Linked DNA regions of Coturnix japonica. The protein of the gene in region 2 purifies or fractionates together with the protein of the main gene of each other region. This does not show direct contact. Links are inferred from orthologs where the notes say so. Each region holds a gene or a part of one and is shown on either strand. Other genes may lie near its edges.

Region 1 (3,650 bases), on a different chromosome or scaffold from region 2:
CAGTTTTTCCAATGAGAGATTTCAAAATGGAAGCAGCCTAGATTAGCAGCTGGGAAACAATTCCAAGCACATATCTATGCTCCAAGAGCAGGCTGACAATGCAACTCTTATGGCTTTTAACTAACAATTAGAGATGCTTTACAAGCTGTTAGAGCATCTATGTGAAGAGCTGGCTCCTTCTTCACCTCCCTGTTAATTTCTGTTCAATTTTAGACTCAGCCTTTTAAAATAAGCTGTACAGGTGAACTGATTGTCAGAAGTGGGAAAGCAATGCAGAAGGGCTCTTGTTTAAACACCAATCTTTATCTGAAGCCAGCTCTCATCTCTCTTTCAGAAAACTACAGAGAAAAGCTCAGTATAGACACTGTTTATTAGAAAATACACGCTAAAAGCAAAACCACTGCATAGAAATGAACATGTGCACAGACATCTTCATCACTAAGACATGATGTACAGACCTATCACAAAAGTCTCAACCCGTATATGAGAAGAGATTGGTATCCATCATACCTTGTGGTTTTGCATTTACTAACTGCAAGTTGATATATTGGCAGAGAAGAGCATCAGGAGAGTTGATGAGAGCAGGTGCTGACCCTGTTGTCACATGCAGAGTCTTTCCACTGAGACTAAGCAAGTCAGTTTTGTTTATCAGTTCTGAAAAAGAAAATGAGACCAGTCAGGTTATTACAAGGGAAGCCGAGGTCCAGTTTTCACTTCATTAGCAGACAGTAAGTTTTTCTAACTCCTGACTCTGGCATGGAAGCATTTCCCTCTTTGCAATTACTTGTTCAAGAAAGAACTTCACCAGTCTGACAAACAGAATTTATAGAGAAATAGGTATTTATTATTAATGCAGAGTACAAAATCTGCTATGGAAATTAGTTGCTACATCCCACTTCTTACGCACATAAATACGTGACACGACTACTTAACGCAATCAACTTAAAATAAGCAAGGAATTATTTGCTTAAGCCAACCACTTCTATCTCATTAAATTATGACTGATGATCTTTGCCTCTTCCATGACTTCCCTAGCTGAAGCAGCACTGGACACACACCATCATGCAACATCAGTACATCTCACATTAAACTCCAGATGACAGCACATTAATATTTGTGTTTAACATCAATAGTTATGATTCTATAGGTGACTCCAGTCATGAATAGTTAGGAAATGGAGAGCAATCAGACACAAAATAGTACTTTTAGGATTTTAGAAGGATTTTAGAAGCAACACCAGTGCCCTGAAAGCATGCAGATAGGAAACTAATGAGGTGCCTGTAACACAGATGAGGTACATCAACATGCCTATCTCACAAAACTGAAGAGGCAGAAATTACATCACTCTCTATTGCAGCTATCGAAGAACTACAAAGCCCAAATCTAGGAAGAATTAATACACTTAGTTGGTTTTTTTTTTTGTCTATATATCCAGTGCAGGAACGTGTCCTTTCCTTCCATGTCAGTACGACCTGCAAGTTACAGAGACTCATTTTCCATCAGGTCATCCAAATGAATTTGAGATGGACCAAACTGGCACTTTTTTAATTAACAAGGATGTTTATAATTTTAAAGATAGGAAAAGAAAAAGAAAAAGAGGTAAAGTGTGATCATAGGGAACACGCTTCCAAGATTTACCAGCTGCCAGAGAACGCGCAATGAAGTGTGGAAGGTTTAAGGGACTGCCCTGGAAAAGGAAGTAATGAAGGTTTCCCATTTCTACCCTCATACTGCATCTAAGGAGCAACCAAGCTTTTAAAGCAAACAAACAAAACAACATGTTTTCCCAGTTTTTGAAGTATCTACATAACAAGAAATATATTGCAAATAGACCTCTGGTATTTTACATAAAACAACAACAAATCCCTCATCTTTGAAAACCAACCCACGCACAGGAGGGGCTTTGCTTTTGGTTTTAGTTGCAGGAAAGCAAGAAATAAAAAAATAATGTGGTGAATTTAAAAATAAAAAACCAACAAGATTTGACCTGGGAAAGGAGCCAGCAGCGGGTTTTTCCTAGCATAATTCTAAAGCAGCGCTGCTTGCCATTTACATGCAATTACTAGATAATAGGTAGGAGACCGAACTGGAGAGTGGGCTGCTCGACACAGCAAGAACCACAGCCCAAGTAACTCACAGCTCGGCCTTACGCAGTTGCAGTAATCTGTGCAGGTCAACAGGGCACAAGCTCCAGAAACTGCCATTTGCACATTTAATGAGCCGAGCATTTCACATTACAGGACCACTGACATTTTCACAAAGAAGTTCTCATGTACAGTGCTATCATTAGACTGCTCGTATAACCCTCTAATAACAGTAATAAGCAGTCAGGCACATCATTTTTTTTTTTTTTCCATATATAACACTAGACTTGATAACAAGCAGATATTCAAAGTGCTCATCAATATTGAAATCACTTTTAGAGTCAGTTCTCCTTGCAGCTGAGATTTAAGTGCTAATACTCTCTTAAGGGTCCTCACAGCCTTCTAAAAATTCAAGAGAAACACATTGTTTCGTCCTCATGCTCAAAAATACAACGCTAAGAATAGGATTTCAATAATAAGGCTCATGAAAAATCATAAAGATAAAATAAGACACAGTCTAAAAAGTATCAGGGGCAATTTTTATTTATTTTTGCCTTGACTCCCCTCCCTTCTCTAAAAGCCCTCAATGATTTGCAGCTTCTTGCAGTCTAAGAAAGAAACAGATTCATTTCAAATAGGTCTTTTTCTATATGGGCTACTTCCCGGAAAGCTGAGCACAACTCAAAGCACTCACAGCAAGAAGCACGTAACACTGTGAGCTAACTAGAACAGAATAAATAAATGAGAAATAAAAATCAGAAAACTCTCTTTACAATCTGATTTGAACCCACTCTCTTTACTTCTTCGGTCATTTCATGGAAAACAGACACCATTTCTTTTTTCTCCTCCTGGAGTTCAGTACAAAATCCCAGAACCCTGCTCAGTGGTTGTGCAGTTACTCAAAATGCATCAATTCACCGCTGGGGAGGAAATGTTTATCCCATTATTTCAATGTTCTACTGAGAAAGAGGAACATGACATATTTTAGCCTGCAAGAACAGCCTGATTTTATGTCATTATGCAACCTTAAGTATATCTTTGTTACTATTAGAAAACAAGATGATAAAGTATTGCAAGTAAAGTGGACAGGCCTAGAAATCACAGGGAAGAAAACAAGGAGCCAGAAATACAATTTTACTGGGTCACAATTTTATTAACACATGTGGGAACAATTCAGCAACCATTTGTTCAGAATGCACGACCTCTTCTTTGCAATCCCTCTCGGGGAGCAGCTGAGAGCAGCAGCTCTACCTAAAGAGACCCAGGGCCACCAACAGAGCTCAGTTAATGCTAGCTGAGCAAAGGCTGGGGAGGTAAAGAACAGGGACTGCATCCAAATTGAACTGAATGTTGGGACTTCCAGTTCTATTCTCCAGCATCCATAAGAGCCATTTTCTGTTCACATGCTTGCACTCAACCCTGCCTCCTTAGGGAGCCCTATCTCTTACCGATCGATACTTGTTCAAAACCTCTGCCAAAAGTAAATTTGATAATCAGAGCCTTCTGAGGGAATTTCCATGTCATTAATAAGTGGGCAGGGAAAAATACCCTCTCTGCCCTGACCGC
Region 2 (3,816 bases):
CTTCCACCACATCCCTGGTCAACCTGTTCCAAGGCCTCACCACCCTCACCGTATAAGACTTTTTTCCTTACATCCAACCTACATCTCCCTTCTTTTAGCATGAAACCATTTCCCTGTGTCTTATCACCACAAACCCTGCTAAAGTCTGTCCCCTTCTTTCTCATTTCCCCACTTTACATACTGAAGGGCCATTATCAGGTCACCTTGTAGCCTCCTCTTCTCTAGGCTGGACAGCACCAGCTACAGCTCATACCCTCAGCAAGCAAAGCCACGCCAAGCAAGAACAAGAACTGGATTTCCCACTCCTCTTGCTCACCTGCAGGCAAGTGCTCCTAATTCTGCAGAATATCATTGAAGACCTGCAACAGAAAAAAAACATTGAGCCCCATCTCTTATGGTAGCTGCAAGAGGCACCAAAAAGTGGTGAGAGGATTGATACCTTCATCATCCCTTCATGGACAAGGCCAGACAGCATGCAGCACCTTGCACGGGCATCCAAAGTGATGTGAACTGATGACGGGGTGGCGTGGTCTTGAGGGACTGTAATAATCCTGTAACAGCCACAATCAACATGAGGAACAAATAAACCAACCACAAGACGCTTCTGAAGAAAGCACAAGGCTTCACGAACACACAGAAGCAGGCATAATATCACGGCCTCTTTTATTCATAACACCTTTTACTTTGACTGCAGTTATTTTTAAAGTTAAATTCAGGCAGCGGTTGAGGAAAAAGAAAATCAAATAGTCCCTGTGTGCACAAACAATGCAGCTTGGAATAATACATGGTAAGTTTATTTCATATTAACATGAACAGTAAAAAGTGGACATGTGACAGGGGAATTATTTCAGTCCCTTTCCTTTATTCCTCTATTGTGTCCTTTTTGCCAGTCTCTTGTCCCTCAAATTGTGGGTACTTGGCCTCCACGTCAGCCCAAGTTAGATAACCGTTCGCCAGGTCACGAATTATGGCAGGAAGTTCAGAGACCTGCAGACAAATCACAAACACAAATGGAACGTGAACCCATCAGAATCTGTTTGTCCTGCTGGATATTTGGGGAATGTGGGTAAGTCAAAAAGAAATAAAGCCAACACACCAGCACCATTAGCTAACAGGATGACTTATATCACAGTCTGTGTCATCTCAGTAGACTGCTCAGTTACTCAAGGTAACACATGAGGAAAAATAGTCAGTGTTGTGGGTCACAGCACGATTAATCCCTTTTAACGCTATGTTACAGTTTTGTAAGGGAAAGAAAACAATACACACATCCAGGAGATGCTGAAAGCCATGGGTTTGCCAGGCCCTACTTACTCTAAGACCAGAACAAAAGGAGTTGTTGGTTGCCTTTTCATTGTTCCTCACTGTGCGCTGGCAATATTGGGAAGAGTTGGCTTAAGAAACCAGAAAATTGGTAAAAAATTGGTGATGACAATGCTATGTGGCAGTGAGGGTTATGCAGGGGATACAGAGGCAGAGGGGTGCTCTGAGAAGCACACTAGGTTACAGTGATCTGAACTGGAAGAGCTCAGCACTGCCTCCTGCTGCAATAGGAGCCAAACTCCCTGGCTCCCACCAAGAACATAGAAGGGCACAGAGTTCTGCTCACAGGCAACGAAACTGCTGTAAGGAGATTTCCTATTGCAGTCTTTGCATTTCAACCATCTCAGCAAAGTGTGCTTAGGGCAAGCAAGCCTTTAGGGCAACATTTCACCAGTCTGACTGCTGCTGAAAAGACCAGCAGGAAGAGAGAAAGTGTGCTTGCACTGTGCTCTGTCAGCCAGGATACAGCAAGCACAGTTCTTCTGCCTTTGGTGCTTGTGGATTCAAAAGTACCCTGAAAACCAATCTCTTCCCTGGAGGATTTCTCAGAACAGCTACACTGCCTAAAGGAGTTGGAGACAGCTCCCATGTAGACCAGAGATACTGGTGGATCAGCAGCATCTCCCTTACTCTGTAAGAAACCAATTTGGCAGCAGCAAAACCCATCTGCCAGCCCTTTACCTCAGCTCGGATCTGGCGCATTGAGTCCCGGTCTCTCAGCGTGGCAGTGTGAGGCGTTCGGTTTACGGTGTCAAAGTCAATTGTGATCCCAAAGGCCACGCCAACCTCATCAGTCCTGGCATAGCGTCGGCCGATGGACCCGGAGGAATCATCCACCTTGTGAGAAATGCCATTCCTGGTGAGTGCTTCAGCTGCAATAAGCAGAGAAATAAGCTGGAAATCACCAGGACTCATTACATACTCAGCAGGCAACATGTTTGTAGCAGAGTCTTCCCACACCCTCACAGCACTACCTGAAGTGAGGCACTGTGTGTCCCTGGTCTTAAGCAATATCACAGGTCCTCATTTTGATTTGGACAGAAGTCCCTCCCAATACTCCAAGTTCAGATCCACTCCACAAGTGCATCACTCAACCCTCATCCAAAGGGCAACACCAACAGGAAGGTCACTGCCTTCAACCTGTCACTGCATTCCCATAGCTTTGCTTTAACACAAGAACAAGCCAGCCTAACACATGTGCAGGGGCAGGCTTGGCATGGGGAGGCAAGGTCCAGAGCAAAGTCTGATGCAGACAGCAAAAAAAACACACTGTCTGATAGGTAGCCTGTGTTTCCGTCCTTCATGTATTTACTTTTAGATGGCACAAGTGGAAACTTTGATAGAAAAAAAAAAAAAAAGTAATTGGTTTGTACACTGTAACCAACACAGGGAAAGCCAAGGAGTTGATTAGTTTTGAGGCTGGTTTGAAAAGCCTCATAGATGCTCAAAGCTAACAAGTTTTAGTTTAATGGCTTTCCCTTTGCACGTGAGAGAGCAACATGAACCCAGTGCTATTTTTTCCCCTCCAGCACTGAGGAATAAAACTCTCTCTCCAGTGCACACCACCACTGAGCCCAGAGTGCTGTTTTTCACTTACATAATTCCTTGACAAAAGGCATGAATTCCTGATTCTGGCTGAGAGGAAGAACGGAGCACTTGAATGGTGCTACAACAGCCGGGAAGCTGAAGAACTAAAGGAAAAAAAAGAAAAAGCATAAATAAATACAAGTCGAACAGTTAAGAGTAGATTCTTAAGAGGTAAGAATAAGCTCTAACTGAGGTTACAGGCAGGGTGACTGGGAGTAGATGTCTTTCTGTAAGCTATTAGCATTTAGGGTTTCAGCACAAACACCTCACAGTGCTAGAGAAAGACTGATTTCCTCCAGCTGTCCTCCACTCCCCCTTCCCTCCTAACAGCTAATGTTATCTCTCATCCAAAGAGAAATCTAATAGAATACTCTCTGGAGGAAGTGATTCTCATCTGAATTACAGAAAAATGAAGGGTAAGAGGAGTCTCTCCAGGAGATTTAATCTTCTGTAATGGGAAAAGTTCTTCCAATACCCATCTCACTGTTTAATTCCCATAGAAACCTGCCATGCACAAGGAATATATGCAGCTTAAAGGTTTTCTTAACCCTCCATAGACACCCTCAGAAACAAGGAACATCCAAAAGCACCAAAAAGTCCTTCCTGACTATTACAGTCAGCAGGACCTTAAAGGGTACAGCAGGAATGCAAACACAACGTGATTACACAGAGCAGCCCAGGCTCTTCAGAAAGCAAATTGATACTTAGAAGTTACAGTCTAATATCCCAGATGTCATGAGCAGTTGTGACTGAAAGTCAGCTGTGTCCTAAATCTGAGCTCCTGAATCTTGTTCCTGCACACACATCAGAACACATCAGAGATACAAAGGAATGCAACTTTTTAGTTAAAATTACAGAAGGCTGCATCTCAGGGAGGACTGAGGAAATGGCCAGTCTATTGTTCAT
Region 3 (3,650 bases), on a different chromosome or scaffold from region 2:
TGAAGCTTTGAGAAAGCAAGCAGGATTGCTCTTTCTTTCAGTGATTCTTGTCACTGGATGCCATTCTTTCACGCCACCTGAGCACCACCAGCAGTAATGCAAACCTGTTTCAGTCTGGCTGAGCTAATGCGCTCAGACACAGATGAGGGATTCATGATTAAGCACTTGGCATTGCTCCTGAGATACCGAATACAAGCTTCTCAGTTGGATTCAGAATTTGCACAGCTGTCTTACACTGCTGGGAGGGAAGTACCTACAAGGACTGAAGGACACAGGACTAAGAACCAACTTGATTTGGTAACGTAATGCTGAGGTTCACAGTGCTGCACATGTAAAGGAAAAATACTGCTTTCATGTTGATACTTCATAAGAAGGTTCCACTCAGCCAAGAGTTTAGGGCCCTCCACTTCATTAGGTCAGTAAATGAAAGAAAGGACAGAGTGAAGGCGTTAGTGGTCAGTCTCCAACAGAAGTACCCATACTTGATCAAGACATGCAAATTTTGTTTCTCAAAATGCATTTCCCCGCATTGACTTTACTATGTTGCAATGCTTTCCTCTAAGCTGGAACAGGAATGGATAATATCGGTATCTTAACCAAGGAGTGGCTGAAAAGTTATAATGAGTGTTATCAACCAGTTATAGCTCTTATCTATTTGCCCAGAGATGACCCAATTATCTATGGGTAATCGATAGGTTCCCAATGAAAGAATCTATGAGCAACACAGAATCTTTTCATCCTTCCCCTTCTAAACCAAAGAGTTAAAATGCCATGGGAAGTCAACACAATATAATGAAAACTGGAGAGGAGGGATATGTTTTGAGTATATTTTAATACCATCTCTCTCCCTTACCACAACTCCAAGCACAAAGGCACTGCTGCACAGATTAACACAGCTGCTCTTTCCAGCTTCAGGTGTGAACTCAGTTCAGCACATCACACATGAAGGTGTGATGAAGTATTTAATATGAGATTAAAAATGGTTTGTCCTAATAAGTGCCCCATATCTTCAAGCTGAACAAATACAGCCACGTTAACAGAGCTGCAGACACAGGTAAACCTCACTGCCAAGCATTAGGGCACAATACTTGAAACAGATTCAGTGGACTTTCCTGTGTGTTGCTCATGGTGCTCCTGATCCAGATTCCAGTTATCCCATTTGTTTCACTAGATTACATGGAAAGCAATAACCACACAGTAAAGAGACAATGCCTATTTGCTTCATTTTTGATTCCTTTCCTAACAAACTGGAGGATTTGTCTGAAATGTCAACTAAGATTTTCTTTGGTAGGCACCTTCCTCCACATTTATGGATATTCCATCAAAAGAATGATCCATAGACTGAACAGCTGAAAGTGTAATTGGAAACAAAATTCAGATCAGTGGGGTGAAAAAAAAAAGTGTGTTATATACATACATAAAGAATTATCGCTAATAATCCAGCATCAATCAAGATGAAACAAGACAGCTTACTGGGACTGGTTCCTCATATTACAGCAAGGTATCATTAGCAGCAACATTAGGAAGGAGGAAGACATACTGGGACAGTCCTTACGATCACTGCAGCGCTCAGAGAATAACTCAGTGCTCAGTAACTGAATGGTTTTAACAATTTTCATTATGGGGGAATAAAATAAGGCTTGTGACAGTGCTTGCAAAGAATGTTCAGGAAAGCAAATAAACTTCTGAATGCCAACATGCCACATAATATGAATGTAAGTATCTAGGTTGAACTGTAATGCATTAAGATGTGTTTTGCTTGAAGTCAGAGGACATAAAGTTCACACTTACCTGTACGGTACAGGATGGGGATGTGGTCAGTGGACAGCTTGTGCTCACTGCGCACTCCTATGAGCAGAGGGCTGCCTCGTCTGCAAGACACCAAGTGACAGTCCTCAGTACCCAAAGGTTCATCCCATTTTGACCCAACCTGGAGGGACTGCTGTCCTCCAGCACAGCACCCTGCTGAGCTAAAACGTGCCCCAGATCCAGCATTAACTCTGTGAGAGTAACCCAAATGATGACGTGAATGTATATGGTTAAATCAACTGGACTGATCCTCACATTCAAAGGTGAAGAAGGAAACTTGGACTCCAGGCTGGCTCATCTGCAAGTCAAATGGAGCACTTGCCCATATGCTCTTTGGAATTATCTGTTCTAACAATTGGGGAAGTAAAAAACAACAGCCAACCTGACCCTACCAGATATATCCTACTATATACACCATACACCTTACCATATAACATGAGAACAACCCCTGTTGTCTTCTATCTTGGCTGAGGAGGGAAGTTACCTCAAGGTTGGGTGCACCAACACTGTTTTTTTAATATACAGATACTTACCTTGTACCAACTGCTTGACCAGGATAATGAACACTCTTAAATACGAGGGCAAAAGCACCTTCCTAGAATGAAAGAAATACAAGTGGTTTATCCCTTCATCTGAGGTCAGGAAAAGGTTTTAGGCATCCCAGTATATAGACTACACCCACATTTCTGTGGATATGTTGGAGATACTGAGCTGATTTCACTGATCATTTGGAGCCACCAGGCACCCTGGGCTCCTCCTCAGCCACTCAGTGAGTTCTGAACTGCCTGGCAGTCCCTGCAAGCACTCCTGTGTTAGCTCACAGGGAACTTACAAAGGAAAAAACCTGATAAAAAGCAACATTTGGTCCTGTCTGCAGTTACTGCAGCTTCTGCCAGGGAAACCACTGGGGGAAAAAAAACACCTCCTGAGCAACCTGCTCTGGGAAGAGATGTGCACTGTAGTGGAACCTGGTCCTGCACCAGTTCAGCCACAGCTGACACGTGGAAGCCAGGCTGTGCGCTGGAGTTCCCACCAGGGGTCAGCATCTCTTCCAGATGGAGACCAGGCAAACTTCAAGCACACACTGCCTGGACCTGACCCAGTCTCTAACAGCTCTCCCCTGGGATGTGTGCATGTCTGTCCCCATCCATCCCTGTGTCCCCACCCCACACTGCACCCCATGCATTACCAGCTGCTGGATGACTCTCTCCACCAGGGTGGTGAAGCTGATGTCGTCGCTGTCCCGGTTGTCATACATGTACTTCACCAGTTTGGCAATGCTCTCTGTGTCTGTCTCTGACTCGAAGTCATAGCCCTTGCTCTCCTGCAGCAACAGAACACATTGGGTAACCAGCCCTCCGTTTCCATCCCCTCTCTTTCTTCCAACTCTCCCTTTTTTCCTCCCATCCTGCCTCCTCCTTTGCTTCCTCTGTTCCTGCATTCTCTTTCCTCTTCTTCTTTCTCTACTTTTCTTCTTTTTGTGCCCTTTCTTTTTTCTTATTTCCTGTCTTCATGCCTCTTTTCCTGCCTTCCTTTATCACCACTCACCCTCCTTTCCTTCCTTTCCATTTTCCCTTCCATCTTTCATTTTCCCCCTTCCATGCACCCATCCATCCTTTCTTCCCACTCCATTAATACAGCTAATGCAGCTTGGAAGTGCATGGAGGGCTCCTGATCCCTCCCAACAACGCCAGGGTTCTGCTCACCAGGAATTTCCGCAGGTCTTTGTAGTTGGTGATGATGCCATTGTGGATGACGATGAACTCTGCAGACAGAGGAAGACACAGTTCAGCCTGGCAGCTGGCACCCACCCAACAGCAGGGATTACAAATCTTCACAGT

What was found.
Region 1: the proteins of GARS1 (region 2) and IARS1 fractionate together in Homo sapiens (co-fractionation; 3 studies listed by BioGRID). This does not show direct contact. The link is inferred for Coturnix japonica from reciprocal best matches to the Homo sapiens genes GARS1 and IARS1.
Region 3: the proteins of GARS1 (region 2) and GFPT1 fractionate together in Homo sapiens (co-fractionation; 3 studies listed by BioGRID, with this or other methods). This does not show direct contact. The link is inferred for Coturnix japonica from reciprocal best matches to the Homo sapiens genes GARS1 and GFPT1.

What each region holds. Positions count from the first base shown.
Region 1 is NC_029527.1:2,288,308-2,291,957, reverse strand, and holds part of IARS1 (isoleucine--tRNA ligase, cytoplasmic), read right to left. Parts: intron 655-3,650; coding exon 511-654; intron 1-510. UniProt on the Homo sapiens protein: Catalyzes the specific attachment of an amino acid to its cognate tRNA in a 2 step reaction: the amino acid (AA) is first activated by ATP to form AA-AMP and then transferred to the acceptor end of the tRNA.
Region 2 is NC_029517.1:3,841,695-3,845,510, forward strand, and holds the end of GARS1 (glycine--tRNA ligase), read right to left. Parts: intron 3,015-3,816; coding exon 2,921-3,014; intron 2,196-2,920; coding exon 2,005-2,195; intron 988-2,004; coding exon 862-987; 3' UTR 647-861; downstream 1-646. UniProt on the Homo sapiens protein: Catalyzes the ATP-dependent ligation of glycine to the 3'-end of its cognate tRNA, via the formation of an aminoacyl-adenylate intermediate (Gly-AMP).
Region 3 is NC_029537.1:1,406,192-1,409,841, reverse strand, and holds part of GFPT1 (glutamine--fructose-6-phosphate aminotransferase [isomerizing] 1), read right to left. Parts: intron 3,575-3,650; coding exon 3,516-3,574; intron 3,134-3,515; coding exon 2,999-3,133; intron 2,405-2,998; coding exon 2,343-2,404; intron 1,872-2,342; coding exon 1,792-1,871; intron 1,350-1,791; coding exon 1,296-1,349; intron 1-1,295.